2 linked regions of the Diceros bicornis minor genome follow. The protein of the gene in region 1 interacts with the protein of each later gene in a pairwise test. Links are inferred from orthologs where the notes say so. Each region holds a gene or a part of one and is shown in the gene's direction. Other genes may lie near its edges.

What was found.
Region 2: the proteins of INSR (region 1) and MAD2L1 interact in binary tests that used the Homo sapiens proteins (3 or more experiments, as listed by UniProt). The link is inferred for Diceros bicornis minor from reciprocal best matches to the Homo sapiens genes INSR and MAD2L1.

The regions. Positions count from the first base shown.
Region 1 is NW_026691615.1:1,130,632-1,139,952, forward strand, and holds the start of INSR (insulin receptor), read left to right. Parts: upstream 1-5,370; 5' UTR 5,371-5,754; coding exon 5,755-5,854; intron 5,855-9,321. UniProt on the Homo sapiens protein: Receptor tyrosine kinase which mediates the pleiotropic actions of insulin.
Region 2 is NC_080750.1:13,586,013-13,594,335, reverse strand, and holds the start of MAD2L1 (mitotic spindle assembly checkpoint protein MAD2A), read left to right. Parts: upstream 1-4,551; 5' UTR 4,552-4,635; coding exon 4,636-4,708; intron 4,709-5,561; coding exon 5,562-5,708; intron 5,709-8,271; coding exon 8,272-8,323. UniProt on the Homo sapiens protein: Component of the spindle-assembly checkpoint that prevents the onset of anaphase until all chromosomes are properly aligned at the metaphase plate.

The DNA.
Region 1 (9,321 bases):
GAACTAGACAGTGGTAATCATTGTGCAACATTGTGAATGTCCTGAATGTCACTGACTTGTACACTTGAAAATGGTTAAAATGGTAAATTCTACGTTATGTGCATTTTACCACAATAAAACAAATCAAACAAAAACAATACTCCAATGTATTTGAATAAGAGTCAGAAATGGAGATTTTAAGAAAAACAGAGCTCTGTGGAAATGATGAAATATACCCCCATGGGGAGCAGGATGGACAGATATCAAGCTGGGTAAGTATAAGACGTCTGTTTTCTTTTTTTCTTGAAATACAATTGACACATAACATTGTGTAAGTTTAAGGTGTACAGTGTGTTGGTGTGATACATTTATGTATTGAAATATTACCACAGTAGCGTTCGCTAACAGCTTTATCATGTCACATATTTATTTTTTCTTTTTTGTGTTGAAGACAGTTAAGATTTAGTCTCTTAGCAACTTTGAAGTTTGTAATGCAGTACTGTTGACTATAATCACTATGCTGTGCATTAGATCTCCAGAACTTATTTTTCTACTAGTTGTAAGTCTGTACCCTTAAACCACATCTCTCCAATTCCCCTACCCCCCAGCTCCTGGTAACCACCACTCTACTCTCTATTTTTACAAGTTCCAGATGTCTATTTTCTTATACCAACTTCACGCCTTGTCTTTATATCCTCAAGGTTCCAAAAAAGGAAAAGTAAAACCCATGGAAAAAATATGAGAATATTGCACCATACTATAATAACTTGTCGATGCAAATCATACATGAGTTGTATCAGAGAAGAGAGAAAGAGAAAGAAAGAACAAGGAAAATTTTAAATATTTGAATTGATTAGGTATTTTGAGGAGAATGGATAGGTCTCCCTGTTTCTTGGGGTAAAAGTTATTTAGGTTGATTCTAGACTTTGCTGCAATGAATATCCTTGTGAATACTTTTTACACTCACGGGAGTATTTCTGTACAGCATATAAATTCCTAGAAGTAAGACCAGGAAAAAGGGTCAATGTGATTTACATGTTGAAAGTCATTGCCAAATCACCTCCCATTGGATTGAACTAATTTATACCAGTGATTATGAGAATGTCTGTTTTCTCACAAACCTTCATATTATGTTACCTTTTTTTCTGATTGTTGATAAACTCAGTAAAAATGACATGGACATATCTCTAACCATGAGGAAGCCTGAACATCCTTTCATATGTTTAAATACCTTTTGTATTTCTCTTTTTTTTCCTTTTCAGTGGTCTGTTTCTGTGAGCTGCCTATTCATATCCTTTGCCATTTTAATTTTGGCAAACAAGAGTTTGCTTTTTTCCTCATTGAAAAAAATTAATATTATGTATTGTATATTACAAAATATCATATAATGCATGCCCTTTATCTGTCACTTAAAGGATATATATTTTTCTCACTTTAAAAAATCTGACTTGTGATTTTATGTGTGAATATTTTTTCAATTCATATGCTCTTAATTTTTATATAGCTAAATTTGTTATATTTAAATTTCAGATTTGGGATTTGTGTTTTGCTTCAAGAGACATTCCCCACTTTGAAATTATAACACAAAATTTCTGCATTGTAGAGTCTTATGGTTTCATTTTTGAATAGCTATGGAATTCAGCAAATACATTTTTAGTAGCATAGAGATGCTCATGCACCTTCCTTCCTTGGATCTATGAATACAGTGAGCTGGATGGCTCGACTTCCGGGCATTGAACTATCTTTGCACTCCTGGTCCAAGTTTCACTTGCTCCTGGTGTTGGTGTTGTGTTCATTTCATCTTCTGTCTGGTTCTGTTAGTAAATTCTTGATGCTGGATTTTTGCACTGTTACTCACAAGTGAAATCAATCTGTAGGTTTTTTTTCCCCCCATTCCTAAATGTAATGTATTAAAGCAGTTTCCATGACAACACAGGAGTCAGCATTTACATTTGGTTTCCTGCTTTAATGAAATGGAAAACAGCTAGTTTGAGGGAGATTATGCCAAAAGGATCTGCTAAAGGAAGACCCCAGTGGGCTGGTGGTGAGGTCTCCCGGAGCCCTCTGTGACAGGCAACAAAAGTCGAGAATATGCTGCTATATCCATGAACCACAGAACGGTATCTCTCTTTAGATGATGCATTCAGAGGACAATGTGTTTAAATGTCAGACCAAAGACAGTCTAAGAAAAACAAAGCAAAGCAAGAAGCCCCAAATGGTTTTTCAAAACTTTTTAAACTTTTTATATTGACATGATGTCAGATTCCCAGAAAAGTTGCATGAATAGTACAATGAATCCCCGTGTGCACACTCTTTATCACATTTACCAATTTTATCACACTTGATCACATCTGCTTCGTCCTCTCTTTCTCTGTCTCATTTTGTTTTGTTTTCTTTCTTTTTTTATTGCAGTAACATTGGTTTATAAGGTTATATAAATTTCGGGTGTATATCATTATATTTCGATTTCTGCCTAGATTACATCATGTTCACCACCCAAAGACTAATTACCATCCATCATCACACACATGTGCCTAATCATCCCTTTCACCCTCCTCCCTACCCCCTTCCTCTCTAGTAACCACCAATCCAGTCTCTGTCTCTACGTGTGTGTTTGTTGTTGTTTCATTTTTTTTTGGAACCACGTGAGAGTAAGTTGCAGACATAATGTCCCTTTCCCCTACATCCTTCATTCAGTGTGAATTTCCTCAAAGCAGAGGCAGTCTCTTACATCACCTCAGTACAACGATCAAAATTAATATTGATACAATACTATTATCAAATTGACAGACCTAATTGTCCCAGTAATGTCTTTCACTACGCAAGAAAATCCAGGAGCAAATTTGATCACTTAATTAAGGTGGTTTCTGCCAGCTTCCTCTTCTCTGAGGCTACTATTTTTGGTTTCTTTTATTATTGACAAGTATCTGGCAGAGAGATACTTGGAGACCATGGAGATGTCCTGTTACTTCTCAAACTTCCAACCATTAGTTTTAGCATTCGTTGATGGTTCTTGTCTGAATCAATGATTTTGGAGATTGGCAAATGGTGATTTTCTACTTCCATTCCAAGGATTTTAACAAAAGGCAGAGGTTGACTTTCAATTTTTAGGTGCTTGGTTTTTTTTCGGGGGTGGGAGCGCGGTGATTAGCAAAAGAAACAATGAGTGGTTTTGCGAAGTGGTGGTGTCTTAATTTTCTCCTACCAAGTCACAACTGAAATGATTCTTTTGACTTTCTACCCAACAGGGAAGTCCTGCGTCCTGAAGGATTTCCAGAGGACAGCATCTCCCCTCTCATGCCTTTTCAGCACAGGCTGCCTGCCTAGAATTGTGGTGGGCTTGGGGCTCCCGTGGGTCAGAAGGAAGCCCACAGCTCCGGACAGGTTTGCACAAGAAGGAAGGGGAAAGATATTTATTGAATGCACAATTCTCGACACCCCAGGACTGCAGCTGCCTTCTTTTTGTTCTCCCTGGGTCCATTCTTGCCCCATCGAAGACAGTGAGATACTATTGGAAATAAAATCTAATTATGTTAACCCTTTGATGTAAATTGTGCCTCTTCATTGCCTTTAGGGTAAAGGTGGAGGCGGTGGGAGGGATGCTTAATGGAATATCCAAGGTTGCACCCCTTCTAGTCCTGCCTTTGAGTTCAGCCTTCTCTCTTCTCTTTCCGTGCTCCAGCTCCAGTGACTGGTTCAGTTGCGAGAACACCTGCCTGTCCTCCTCTGTGCCTTTGCACATGCTGTTCCCTCTACGTGGAACACTGATGCTCCCGTTGACTGGCTCCTCCTCCTCCTCTTCAGATTTCAGCTCCAAATCACTTCCTCGGAGCATCCTTCCCTATCCCCTCTGCCCCACCTTATAACACGGATGATTGTTTAACTAACGCGACCCCCCACCCCCACAGTGAAGTCTACAAGGAAACGCACTGTGCTTATTTTGCTCACTGTGAATCCCTCTTACTTACTGTGTGTTGACTCTTCCATTCAACAAATATTTATTACGCAACGGATATGTCAGGCACTGGGTGTGAAATAGTGAACAAGACTGGCAAGATTTCTGCTTTCATGGGGAGGGGCGAAGAGACAAAAAAAAAAAATAAGTAAGAATTTCAGGTAGAGATGCTGGTGTAATATGAATCTCGGGGAAGGGAACAAAGAAACGAGCGGCTGGCTCTGGTCAGGGAAGGCTCGCAGGAGAGGAGAGGTGGAGCCCGGCACTGGACGGACAGGGGAAGGGGGGAACGCCAGGGTAAAGGCCTGGAGGCAGGAATAGGTTTGGCGTCTTGGAGAAACAGCGGGCCCAGCTCCTGAAAATGAATGCCCTCCGCCTAGAATTGTGTGGAGTGCTTTCCCAGGCTGTCTTCCCCGTGCGCTTCCCCAGATTTGACACGCAGGTATTGTTACATCCATTACACAGGTGAGGCCACCCCGGAGAGAGTGAGGTCCCTCCGTCCAAGGCCTCACACAGTAAGGCTTCCTGTACTCTTTCTGGCTTCCTGTACTTAGGGCCCCTCCCCCCCTTCAGTAAGGTGGGTTGACCATTGTCATGCCCTATTCATGAGTGACATCTGCTAGACATTCAGACACACATGAACTTTGGGTCTGCGGATTCAAAATCGGGTGTGTCCACCTGCGCGGGATCCAGGGTCTAGTTTGCATTTTTGGGAGGTTCTGCACATTCTCCCCGGTTTCATTTCTCCAACTGGAACCCCACGCCGCGCTGAGGGGCCCCGGCCACGGAGCACGCCGAGCGCACGGGGCGCGCGTGCACGTGGCTGTCCCCAGGGTCCCGGCGCTGGGCGGGGGCGCACTCGGGGCAGGACATCTGGGGCGCCCGCGCTCTAGGACGAGACTCACTGATAGGCCTGAGACGAGGGAGAGGCGAGTGCAACATTTAAGGGAGTACCGAAAAACCGAGTGACCAAGATAAATAATATTTTAATGTAATATTTTTAAAAAGCAAAATGAATACCCCACAGTCCACGAGGAACAAAATAGGAAAATGTTAAAGACGGGATCGGTCTGGCTGGCTCCGGCATCTGGGGCGCCCCCAAGCTCTGAGACCAGAGACGCGGGCTGTCTGGAGCACTCGGCCCGGGCGGGGATCTGGGGCGCCCCCTCGGCTGGGGCGCGCCAGGGGCCTCCAGCGCGGGGCCCAGAATAGGGAGGCCAGCGGACGGGGCGGGGCGGCGCCTCCCTCTGCGCGTCCTCCCTCCACCCCTCCTGGGCCTCTCCCGGGCGCCGAGTCCCTTCCGAGTCCCGATCCGCGCCGCCTTTTGCCGCGGCCCGCACGGGGCCCAGCTGACGGCCGCGTTGTTTACGGGCCGAGCAGCCTTCGCTCCCGCCGCCCGCCCGCCACCCGCCTGCCCAGGTGCCCGCCCGCCCGTCCGCGCGTCCGGCTGTCTGCGCGTCCGTTTGTCCGCGCGTCCGCAGATCGTGGCCAAGAGCGCTCGGGGCCGAGAGCCAGGAAGCCCGGGCGCAGCGCGAGGCTCCGGGCCCTGAGATCGCGGGACGGGACCCGGGCCTCAGTAGCCCGGGGTCGGGGCCGCCTCCGCCGAGCCGCGCCGCCGGATTTGTAGCGGCCGAGGCCGCGCGCCCCTCCGGGGGCTGATTCAAGGAGCCTCCCGGGCGGGGGCTGCGACCCGAGGGCCGCGGGCGTGGAAGAAAAGGACGCGCGGCCCCCAGCGCCCCTCGGGCGGCCACCTCGGAGCATGACCCTCGCGGGCCGGCGCCGCGCGCTCTGATCCGTCGGGACCCCGCGCTCCCGCAGCCATGGGCGCCGGGGGCGGGCGGGGGGCGGCGGCCGCGCCGTTGCTGGTGGCCGTGGCCGCGCTGCTGTTGGGCGCCGCGGGCCACCTGTACCCCGGAGAGGGTGAGTCTGGGGTCCGGGAGTGGGCGGGGAGTCGCGCGGTGGGGAGGCGATCCCTCGCCAAAATGGAGCCCCAGCTGTGGACCAAGAGCCGTCCCGGGTGGGGAGGTGGGTGGCCGGGGCGGTCACTCTGGTCCCGCGGGGGGCGGGAAGCCGCTGACCTTGGTCTTTGCCCGCCTGGGCTCACGGCTCCGCGCCCCGCGTGCCGGCCCCGGGCTGGAGCAACCTTGCGCCAGTGCCTGCTCTGCCGCGGGCGCCTCTCCGGAGCGCGCCTCGGACCCGTGCCTGGCTCTCTCCGTCCCCAAGTCGCTCCGGAGAGGGGATACACGTCCTCTCTGGGTCGCCTCCGAGAAGTGGGGTCCCTGGGTCCGGGCGGCCACGGACAGCCAAATGCGCGGGGCGCACACGGTTAGGAGCCGGAGTCGAGGGTGACAGACTGGGGGTCCCTTGGGGTCGCTGCTGCTAGGTGACGCTGCCCCGGGGAGGGGAACTGTAGAATCCCTCCATCCCCTTCCTGGGATCGAGGCCCGTGGCTACCCCGGACTTCAGGTCCATGTTTACACTTTGGGATTCTGTTTCCAGATGTCCGGAGGCAAACTCCGGCGCCTTGGGAACAGCACAGTTATAGTAGCAGAAGGAGTGGACGTTTTTATCATGATTATTATAGTGGGTGTCACCGAATGTCACGGGCTGCGCCATCCTATCTCTCTGGACCCTCAGAGTGGCCCCTAAAGGTTGACGCTGTTGTTCGCCCATTTCATAAAGGAGTAAACTGAGGCTCAGAGAGGACGCATAACTTACTGCCCCAAGTCAGTGCCAGAGGGAGGGCTGGAACCTCTCTGTGTGGTGCCCGCCCAAGGCTCTGGACTGCTGCCGGGGCTCCCTGCTAACCTCCCCCTCCAGCTCCGCCCGTCATGAAGCGGTCTTTTGCCGTCAGACTTGGGAGGTCTCTAACCTTGGATGAGCCTCTCATGCGCCCTAACCCCGAGGGCCTCCCTCCTGCGTGTCCCTGTGTGGCAGCAGACAGAGGCCAACCCCAACCCCAGCATGCTTCTGCGGCTTGACAGCAGGCCTTTCTGGTTGTGGGACAAGGACTGAAGAATCGTTTAAGAGAAGATGGCTGGAGATTCTCACCGTGGTGTCTGAGGCTGTGCTTTAAAAATATCTGTTGGGTTACTTCTTCAGATTTCTCCATAAAAGGAAATCAGTCATGATGAGGAAGGGGTTGGGGAGGAAAAAGAGGCTCCTTGAGTTCCCTGATGGTGAGTGAGGTGTGGGAGAAAGCATACACAGGCTCAGGAGTTGAAAACCAGGTTTGCTGAGCGCCTCTGCCAATTACGCAATGTCTTGATGCCCCCGTATGCCTGGTGTACAGTGAGCGCTCAATGAAGGAAGGATGGCAATTGGTTTAGGTTCTTGTTAAGAAAATCCAAGACAAGTTGTCAGACCTACGCCAGGCTTTGTGGTTGTGTGTGTGTATGCATGTGTGTACGTGTGGTTCCCTGTTCCTCTGTTCCTTGTGGCTTTGGTAATTAATTGTGGATTTACGCCTGGGCTTCCAGGAGTGAACAGATGGATTTACCACTTGGTTACACATTTACAGTTCCCACAAGGGCAGAGGCTTATGTGTATTTCATTCACTGCGACATTTCTAGAGCCTAGAACGGTGCCTGGCACACAGTAGGCATCTGGTAAATATTTCTTCTTGATTCAACTCTTTTCCTTCATGTCCTCACTAGTCCACCAAGCCACTGCTCCTTTATTCTCCAGATAATACCTAACTAACAAGAATAAAAGGAAACACTCAGTGGGAGCTGTGCCATATGCTTTGCATATATAATCTCAGTTAATTCTCACCATGACCCTATGAGGTAGAGTCTGCCCTCTCTTTTTGCAGGCGAGCAACTTGACCTGGTTACAGAGCTGGAATTAGAGCCCCAGCTTGTCTGGCTGCAGAGCACTGGCTTCTCAATAAAAGGTTGTTCATTGGGGTCCCAGCCTCCCCATCCCTACCCTGCGGTAATGGTTAACAAAATCCTATCAAATACATGAGATGTGAGGCCCCTCAGAGGTTTGGAGAGGGGCGAGAAAGTTTACAGATCATTAATCTCTTACATCAACTGACACGACATTTTGGCGGGGCTGGGCGGTGGAGGGAGATCAATGTGATTTTTCAGGAATGAAGGACTCTTTCTTGGAGATGTTGTATGGGATGTTCCACCCTGGTTCATTCTCCTGTGGCGTCTCTGTTGCTTTGCTGAAGAGGGCAATGGCTTTCCCCGCCATTTCTCCTTGGATTGGCTGGCTCTGGTCTGAGATTACTTGGGCGTGGGGTGGGGGGATTGCAAAGCCAGAGAGTGAAGGCAGTGTGGGATTAATTAAAATGAAAACCCACAGAGTTTTAGGGGGGTCCAGTGAGTTGAATAATTGAGGTATGAGATGCTCGCTTCCAGAGCCCCCTCGTTTCTCAGATCCCCCTCGTTTCTGGAGGATGGCATGAGATGTTTCTCTTGTGTGTTCTCTTGTGTGTCCTGGGACCCTTGGAGCAGAACTTCTGCCTGCTCAGTCACCTCCCTGGGGTTACTCCTAACCTCTGCTTCTCTCCTGGAGACTTGCCGTTCATCCCTGCCCCACTGACTTATGGAGGTCATGGGGTTGAGCCCCCTGGGGTCTCCACCTCACCCCACTCCATTGTTGACTTCCATTCTTTTTTTTTTTTTAAGAGTTTTATTTATTTATTTATTTTTTGTGAGGAAGATCAGCCCTGAGCTAACATCCGTGCTAATCCTCCTCTTTTTGCTGAGGAAGACGGGCTCTGAGCTAACATCTATTGCCAGTCCTCCTCCTTTTTTTTCCCCCCAAAGCCCCAGTAGATAGTTGTATGTCATAGTTGCACATCCTTCTAGTTGCTGTTGACTTCCATTCTTAATTTGGTTTAGAGCAGAACCTCTCAGGCTCGGTGCTCCTGGCATTTGGGGTTGGATACTTCTTGGTTGTGGGGGGCCATCCTGTGCATTGGAGGATGTTGAGTAGCATCCCTGGTCTCTACCCACTAAGATGCCAGTGGCCCCTCCCCTCTCCAAGTCATGACAACCAACAGTGTCTCCAGACATTGCTAGCGGTCCCCAGTTGAGAACCACTGCGTTCGGGGAGCTAACTTTTTCCCTGTCTAGAACTCCTACCCAGCTGGGTCTCTGCTCCCTCCTCTCTGTTCGGGGATGTCCATGCACCCAGAAGCCTTTCTCTTTTCAGCCTATAAACACTCAGTACTCTCCCAAACCCCATTACCCACCACTCCCCTCCAGCCTTCTCCTGCCAAGCCTCCCCCAGCAGGTCCTCACCACCCTCGATCTCTCACCTTTCACTCACTGCTCTGCCCATGGCAACTGGCTTGTGTCTCCATCACTTCACCAATGGCTCTAATGAAGGTAATCCCTCACCTCCCAGCTGCGTCTCTGCAGCCTCACCCT
Region 2 (8,323 bases), on another chromosome or scaffold:
GTGGCTGCTGTGCAGGGAGGGCAGGGTGCAGGGTGCTCACCTGTCCTGGTTGTGGCGCAGCTGCTGTATGGAGTGGGCAAGGTGCAGAGCATGCTCACTGGTGTTAACAGGTTTAAGGACGGGCACCAGAAGTGGCGTCTGCCAGCTCCGTCATGATGAAGTTAGAATGAGATTGTGAAAATGACATCCACCAGTGTTTCTGTCTCTGGAGAGATTTTCTGCAGGTCCCTGCCTCTCCATCAGCCACTGTAGGATTGGTAAGTGGGTCTCCCTCACTTATGCTCTAGGCGCTTTTCAAACTGTTGCTTTTGCACTGGATCTCAAGGCAAGTGTGTCTACACAAGCCCTGTAAGAGCAGATTCTCCATTTCCTACAGTTCCGTGTTTCCCCTGGACTTAATCCCTGTTGATTTTCAAAACTAGATGTTTTGCAGGCTTGTCTTTCTGGTGGCAGGCTCAAGGATCAGAGTGCCTGATGTGTGGCACAATCCCTTCAATCCTCAAGGGAAAGTTCCATATTTACAGATCCCTTCCTGATTGTGGGACATCACACTGGGATGGGCTCCCGGCCGAGACCAAGTCTCTGCTTCTCCTACCCTTCTTGATGCATCTCTTTTATCTTTGCTGCAGAGGTGCTGTTTGTCCAGTTCTCAGGTCCTTTTCAGAGGAAAATTATTCCATATGTAGCTGTAAATTTCTTGTATCTGTGGGAGGAGGTGAGTTTAGGGCCTTCCTGCACTGCCATCTTGAACCTCTCCCTAGAATCGTTAAGAGTTATCATGATAAATAAGAAATAGAACAGGTTCAGAGTTTGGGCAGCTCTTCCTAATATCCCATAGCTTTGAACAACTCTACTCTGTATTACAGGCTTGCCACCTTGGAGTTATCTGCACTACCATTTCATTCTTCCTCCATATCAGTCATCAACTCAATTCTTGTTTTAAAATGTCTTGCTCTGATGCGGTACCTTCTTTTTTTGGGGGGGGAGGAAGATCAGCCCAGAGCTAACAACCATGCCAATCATCCTCTTTTTGCTGAGGAAGACTGGCCCTGAGCTAACATCTATTGCCAGTCCTCCTCCTTTTTCTCCCCAAAGCCCCAGTAGAAAGGTGTATGTCATAGTTGCACAGCATTGTAGTTGCCGTATGTGGGACGCCGCCTCAGCATGGCTGGACGAGCTGTGCGTCGGTGCGCACTTGGGATCCGAACCCAGGCCTCCAGTAGTGGAGCACATGCACTTAACCGCCAAGCCACAGGGCCAGCCCCTGATGTGGTGCCTTCTTATTCAAACTCTCTGGCATCCATCTAGGCCAGGCTCTCAACCTCCTAGGCCTGCATGGCTAAAATATCCATCATAGTCTACTGCTTTTCAAAAAGTGATTTAAGAACTTGCATCAGAATCATTTGGGACGCTGGTTAAAACACGTCATCTCTTAAACCCCATAAAGTAGACCAGCACCGTCCAATAGAAATATAACATGAGTGACATATGTAATTTTAAATGTTCTGGTAGTCAGATTAAAAAGCTAAAAAGACACAAGTGAAATTATTTTAATAATATGTTTTATTTAATCCAATGCATGTAAAATATCATTTCAATATGTAATTAATTAAAAAACATATCAATGTAATTCTTTACATTCTTTTTTTATCGTCTCTGAAATCAGGTATTTCATACTTGTAGCATATCTCAGTTCAGACCAGCACATTTTAAATGCTGAAGCAGCCACCCATGGCTAGTAGCTGTGGTACTGGACTGACTCAGGCTTGGAGAAGGGGGAATAGAAGCCAGGAAAATACATATTTAGCAAAATACCCAAGTGATTCTTTCACATTCTTAAGTTTGAGGACTACCACTCACAGTCGTCCTGTACACAATCATTTCTACAACCATTACTGAATTTACACCTGAGAAAATGTCCCGCTAATCATTTCAATCCTAAGAACCTAGAAATCCCTGGTACTTCCAGTTCAATCAACATAGATGGGTATTCAGAGCTCCCTAAATGTGGCCTCACCTCATCCATCCAAGCTGCTCTCCAATGGGAAAATGTTTTCGGTTCTTCTGTCAAGTTTTCCTAGGAAACTATTCAAATGCTCATTCCTTCAACAAATATTTGTGGAGCACCCACCAAATATCATCATGGATCCTCCACCAAAACAGGGAAGATGGAACTCAAATCATTCTATAATCATAACAAGGTAATTATTTTCATTCTGACCTTGAAAGCAATGCTCTGAAATAGCACTATGAAATGCTATGAAAATGCCTAAGAGCAGGACCTTATAGTCTGAGGGGTCAAAGAAAATTTCTTTAATACAACATTTAAGTTAAAAAAAGAATATAGGGGCTGGCCCCATTGCCTAGTGGTTAAGTTCGGTGCGCTCCACTTCCGCGGACTGGTTCAGTTCCTGGGCGTAGACCTATACCACTCATCAGCAGCCATGTTGTGGCAGCATCCCACATATAAAATAGAGGAAGACTGGCACAGATGTCAGCTGAGGGTGAATCTTCCTCAGCAAAAAAAAAGAGAAGAATATAAACATAACTTGAAATTTGAACAGATAAAATGAAATTTCTAAGCAGAGGAAAGCACATTATGAAAAACCCTGAGATGGAAAAGTTACTAAAGGATCAGGCAGACTAGGAAAGTACAGGGCTGCCCAGGTAGGCAGAAGGCAAGTAAGGTCAAATTTGTAAGCCTTTAATTTTTCTTTTTTTTTCCCCTTAAGTATGCATATTTAATCAAAACTAGATTATAAACTCAAAAAGCACAGACCACACCTTCTAAGCCTTAATTATTTCTTATATCTCCTCACAGAGCACAAATAAAGTATTTAAAAAATACTTCATCTATACATGGAAAAATACATTTTGCTAGCCTTTTAAATTCTAGAATCTCCAAAATTATACTAACAATTATTTGCATCTTCAGCTAATTTACAAGCTATATTACTATGAAACCTAAGGAAGTCTTTCCTGAATTGCTGAGTATTAACATAAAGTTCCTTAGAAAGAGAGACAATTTGTATACACAGTAAGGTAGCATTGCACTCTAACTCAAGTTCCTGGTGCAAGGAGTGAAAAGATGGTGATTTACACACACAGATACACACACGTACCACAGAGACTGAAGGATGTAAGGAAAATATTTTGTTGGGTCGTCAGCCTCTTACTTATTATACCTATGTTTTAATCTTCAAAGTGATCAAAATCTGATATATAACTGTGATAGGCAGAATTCTAAGATGGCCTCCAAAATTCCTGGTCTCTAGGGAGCACATCCTATATAACTCCTCTCCCTTGAGCGGGGCCAGAACCTGTGAATATGAGGGCCTATCACTTCTGGGATTACGTTCATCAAAGGAGAAACTGTTTGACCGGGTCTGACCTAGTCAGGCAAGCCCTTAAAAGGGAACTCCCTGAAGTCAGGGAGACTACAAGTGTGAGAAGGCTTACTGTACCTGGCAAAGGCACAAACCTGGCCTCTGGCCAACAGCTGGCAAGACAAAGAACCACAAGGACGTTAATCCTGCCAACCACCAAGGGGCTTGGAAGAGGACCCCAGCCCTTAGACGAGATCCCACGCACAGACGCCTTTATTTCAGAACACTCAGCTAGGCCACGCCCAGACTCCTGACCTACGGGACTGACATAATAAACGCCTGTTCACACCACTAATTCGTGGTAATTTGTTCTGCAGCAATAGAAAACTAATACACTCAGCCATTTCTCATATAATTAAATAACACAGTATGTCTGGTACAGTTTTTCAGACTGCATTTTACAAATAATCTTTCCACCTGCTACAAGAATAAACTCGTTTCACAACGGCCATGAACATTAATTGTGCACCATCTCCTTTATACCTCTCATCCTAACATGAAGTCATTGAATTTGTGCGTCAAAATCCACGGAAAAGTTCTTCAGTGTTGAGGGGCCTTTTTGGCGAGGTGACCTTGTTCCTGACCAGCCGCCTGCGGGTGGGCAGGGCGGACGGAGAGCAAGCTGCACCCCCAGCCGCCCCAGACTCGGCCGCGCAGGGGGCTGGGGGTGGAGGCGGGCGGAGCCCAGGGCAGACGCAGACTAGGCAGAAAAACGGCTGCGGTTCGCCCCTTTGGCCCCCACCCCAGTTTCTCGGGAAAAGCCGCGCTCCCACAGCCATCGAGGCCTCTAAAGCCGAGGCTCGGCTGTGCGCCGCTGCCTTCCGAACTCCCAACGTGTCCAGCCCAAGTCTCAGCCCTCCACTAGGGATCCCTGGGGAGTTCATATCATTTTGAAAATATCTTCCGAACGCAGAATCTGTGCTCCTCGGTCGCTCAGTCTGCAGGCCTAGGGAGCGGCCAACAAGACCGGGACGTGCCGTCTTCCTCCCTCCGCTCCACCTAGCCGACCGCAACGGGAACTGCCCGCAGACACCCACCGGGTTAGGACGCCCGGCACAGCGTGACCACGCTGACCCACTGCGCCTGCGCCCGTCGCGGGGGCGGGGCTTAGAGGCTGGTCGCGCCTGCGCGAAGGGCCCGACGGCGTGCTGCGTCGTTACTTTTGAAACGAGTGGCGGGCAACTGCTGCGAGAGCCCCTGCTGCTCCTGCCCCCCCGAGGAAGCGCGCGCCTCCGTCTGTGGCCTGGCCATGGCGTTGCAGCTCTCCCGGGAGCAAGGCATCACCCTGCGCGGGAGCGCCGAGATCGTGGCCGAGTTCTTCTGTGAGTCCTCCTGGCGGAGGCCGGGGGCGGGGAGGCCGGGGCAGGCCGCCCGGTAGGCCCGCGGCTCGGCTCCGCGGCGGGGAAGCCGGGGGGCCCGCAGCGGCCGCGAACTCGAGCCCTGTCTGTCCCGGCCTCCCGTCCGGCCGGAGGAATCTGGGGAGAGGCGGGTGCGGGCGTCTCCCCCGGCCGCGGTGCTAATGGCGGAGGAGGAGGCCTCGGTGCTGCGGCGGCCTGCCTCGCCGGGTACGGCCCCTGCCCTGGGGCGGTTCTTTAAAGTGCAGATCCGTGTCTGCCCCCCCGCCGCCCCAGGGCCTTGGGACGTAATGCGACCGGGGCGGGGGGCACGTGTGGGTGATTCTGGGGTTGGCGGTGATGCACTCGACTTTGGGAAGCGCTGTTCTGCACCTGGCCGGTCCTTCCTTCTGTTAGAACCTGGCAGGACTTGTGAGAGGAAAAGGAGGAAAAAGACAGAGAGAGGTTTGCCCGGGGCCTTGGACCAGCCAGTCAGTTGCTAACGCGCGCCGAAGCCTCTTTGACATCCCCGAACCACATAATCTGAATTTGGACTTGGATTACAATGAAATGAAATTTGGCAGTGGTAGATTAATGCAGTTTGGCATTTTTCTTTTATTGCCACAAAATGCAGGCATTGCTTTCTCTCTTTTACTTAGAAGCAAGACTTCAAGGATTTTTAATGAAATTTTGTACCTACTGTGCTTTCAGCAAGACCCGCACAAACACGTCTGTTCAGGCATTTACAGACATACCATTAATGAAACCAAAGCCAGATCTAAATGTTTTGTTTTCCCGAGTTACAAAGTGATAATAAGTTCAACATTTTTTTTCTTTTCAGCATTTGGCATCAATAGCATTTTATATCAGCGTGGCATATATCCATCTGAAACCTTTACTCGAGTGCAGAAATATGGACTCACCCTGCTTGTAACTACTGATCCGGAGCTCATAAAATACCTCAATAATGTGGTGGAACAACTAAAAGGTATTCAGTTGTTGGAAACGGTTTTGAGTTTTGCAGGCCTTCTAGAATCCACATTTTCTAGCGTCTTGGTGGTCATCTTTCAGCTCTGTACATAGGGTTGTAAAACACACTACCATCTCAGATATACTGACTCAGCTGGGAGGAAGCAAACAATGTAAATTGAAAGAAATCCCACCCTTCCCCCACCACATTTTGAGTGAGCTGAATATTTTGATGTGAGGAATCTGAGACGGCTTAACAAGACAGCCTCCATCAACTCCCTTAGAAATGACTCGTGCAATTCATGTGGCCAAATGGAGCAAGTTGGAATTTTACATAATTATGATGGTGTTCATTATCTGAGAAAAATCCACTATACATTCTTAATATTATATATATTCTGTAGCTGCTTGGAGTCTAAAGTTGTCATTATTAAGATCAAGGAAATAAAATTGGATTCAACGTGGGAACTAAACTTAAAAAAAGAAAAAAAAAAAGAACAAGTACTAAATAGTAGAGCCCAGTAGAGTTTTCTTGTTTTTCACCTGTTTCCATTTGTCTTTTTTAAAAATCTTGCCTGTGAGTCAGTAAGCTTTTTCTATCTGAACACTCATTTTTTTTAGCTCAAGAAGTTGCTGTATTGTTGGATCAATACTTGTTTTCCATCTATTCCTTTTTTTCCTTCCTCTAGAATTCCTATTAGTTTCTCTTTTATGTTTCTCAACACTTAGGATTCTTTTAATTTTTCTGTGTTGTAAAATGTTCCCATTTGATAATCCAAAATACTAGTTCCAAAACACACTACAGTGGTCATCTTTTTTTTTTTAATTTTTAAATTCATGAATCTCATATATATATTGTTTCAAGTAGCTTCATTTTTAAAATTACATTATTGTATTTTTATTAACTTCAGAGCTAAATTACCCATAGTTTCCCATACTTATTTATAGGGCTATACTCAGATTATTTGGCCTGGAAACCTCTAGGCAACTATAGAGCTGTGTCTTCATCTTAATTTGATGAAGAAGCAATACTTACCTAAGCTACTGGTGTTTTGGATTGTCTCCTTTGAGACACCTCAGATGTATCTAGACCATCCTATTTAACTTCTTCCTTTTAGTTTAGTTAAAATGGAGGAATTGCTCTCCTTAGAGGCAAATTGTTCAATCTGTTTTGAATCCCATCCCTCTAGCCTTCTGAGGGACTTTATCCTATGTTTTCTGTTGTATTTTCGACTTCTTTGTTTTGATTTGGATTATTCCCGTTGGTTTCATCTCTCTCCAATTTTAAAGAAAAATTACCACCTACCTCAAATCTTCAAATTACCACCTAATCTCCTCCTTTTCAGAGCTAAACTGAGAAAAAGTTGTTGATATATGCCAGGGGTCAGCGAGAATATTTTTACGTTTTTAAAGAGTTGTTTTGAAAAGAATATGCAACAGAGACCTAGGTGGCCCACAAGCCTTAAATATTACTGAATTATTTTGTCTCTTTAAAAAAAAAACCTGCTGATTCCTGGATATACTATCCCAATTTCCTAGATTTATTCAGGGGTCAATTGCAGGCCCTCTTCTCACTATAATCTCTCTCTCGATGATCTCTGACACGTTCCTAGCTCCATTAACAACATCTGTATAGTTGACTCACAAACTTACATCTAACCCAAGTCTTTCTGAACTCTAAGCTCATATATCAAGTGGCTCTCTTGATATCTTCATGTGGCTGTCTCAGGGATACTTCAAACTCAGCATATTAAAAACTAAGTTTAGGATCATCTCCATTTCACTTCTCTTTCCTCTCTGAATGGACAGCCACCCAACTATTGATGTAAGCCAGGAACCTGGGAGCTGTCCCCAACTCCTTCCTCTTCCTTACTCTCATAGGTAATCCAATAAATCTGAAGCATTATAACCACAAAATCTCTTGACTCTGTCTACTGCTCCATCTCTACCAGTTTATCCTCCTACAAGCTTTCGTTACCTCTTGTTTTAATTACTAATTAACTAGTGTCCCTAGATCCCCTCTTTACCTCCAGTTCCCTTTCTATATCACAGCCAGACTTGATGGTTTTGAAATACAAGTCTAATTACCTCACACCGAGCTTCAAACACAGTAATGACTTCCCTGGTTCTTAAAGTATAATTTCTTTAATTTGGCCCACGTGGCCTTGTCTGGCCCTATGCATCTGGCCAGACTTACCTTGTTCTTTCTCCCTTGCTTAACTGCAGTTGTATTGGCCTCCTTGCAGTCCTCTGGGCAGATGCTCTTCCCTTTTGAGTGTTTGTACAATTATAGTTTCACATGTGTTGGTGCAGTGATGAGGTTAATGCCTGGCTCCTGCACTCTAACCTTGGATTAAGATGGAAGTACTGGATGTTCACTACTCTCCTCAGCACCCACCACTATACCTGGTACAAACACGGAGAATTTGAAAACAGGAGCAGTGATGGGGCAGTGTTTCTGTGCAGGTTGGAGGAGTTCCAAAATACCAGTGGTAAGAATTTGCTGATAGGAGGTGGGACCTGAGAAGTGAGTTGATTTGTAATGCAGTGGACCAAAAAAGATGCCTTGTTGTATATTGCAGATTGGTTATACAAGTGTTCAGTTCAGAAACTGGTGGTAGTCATCTCAAATAT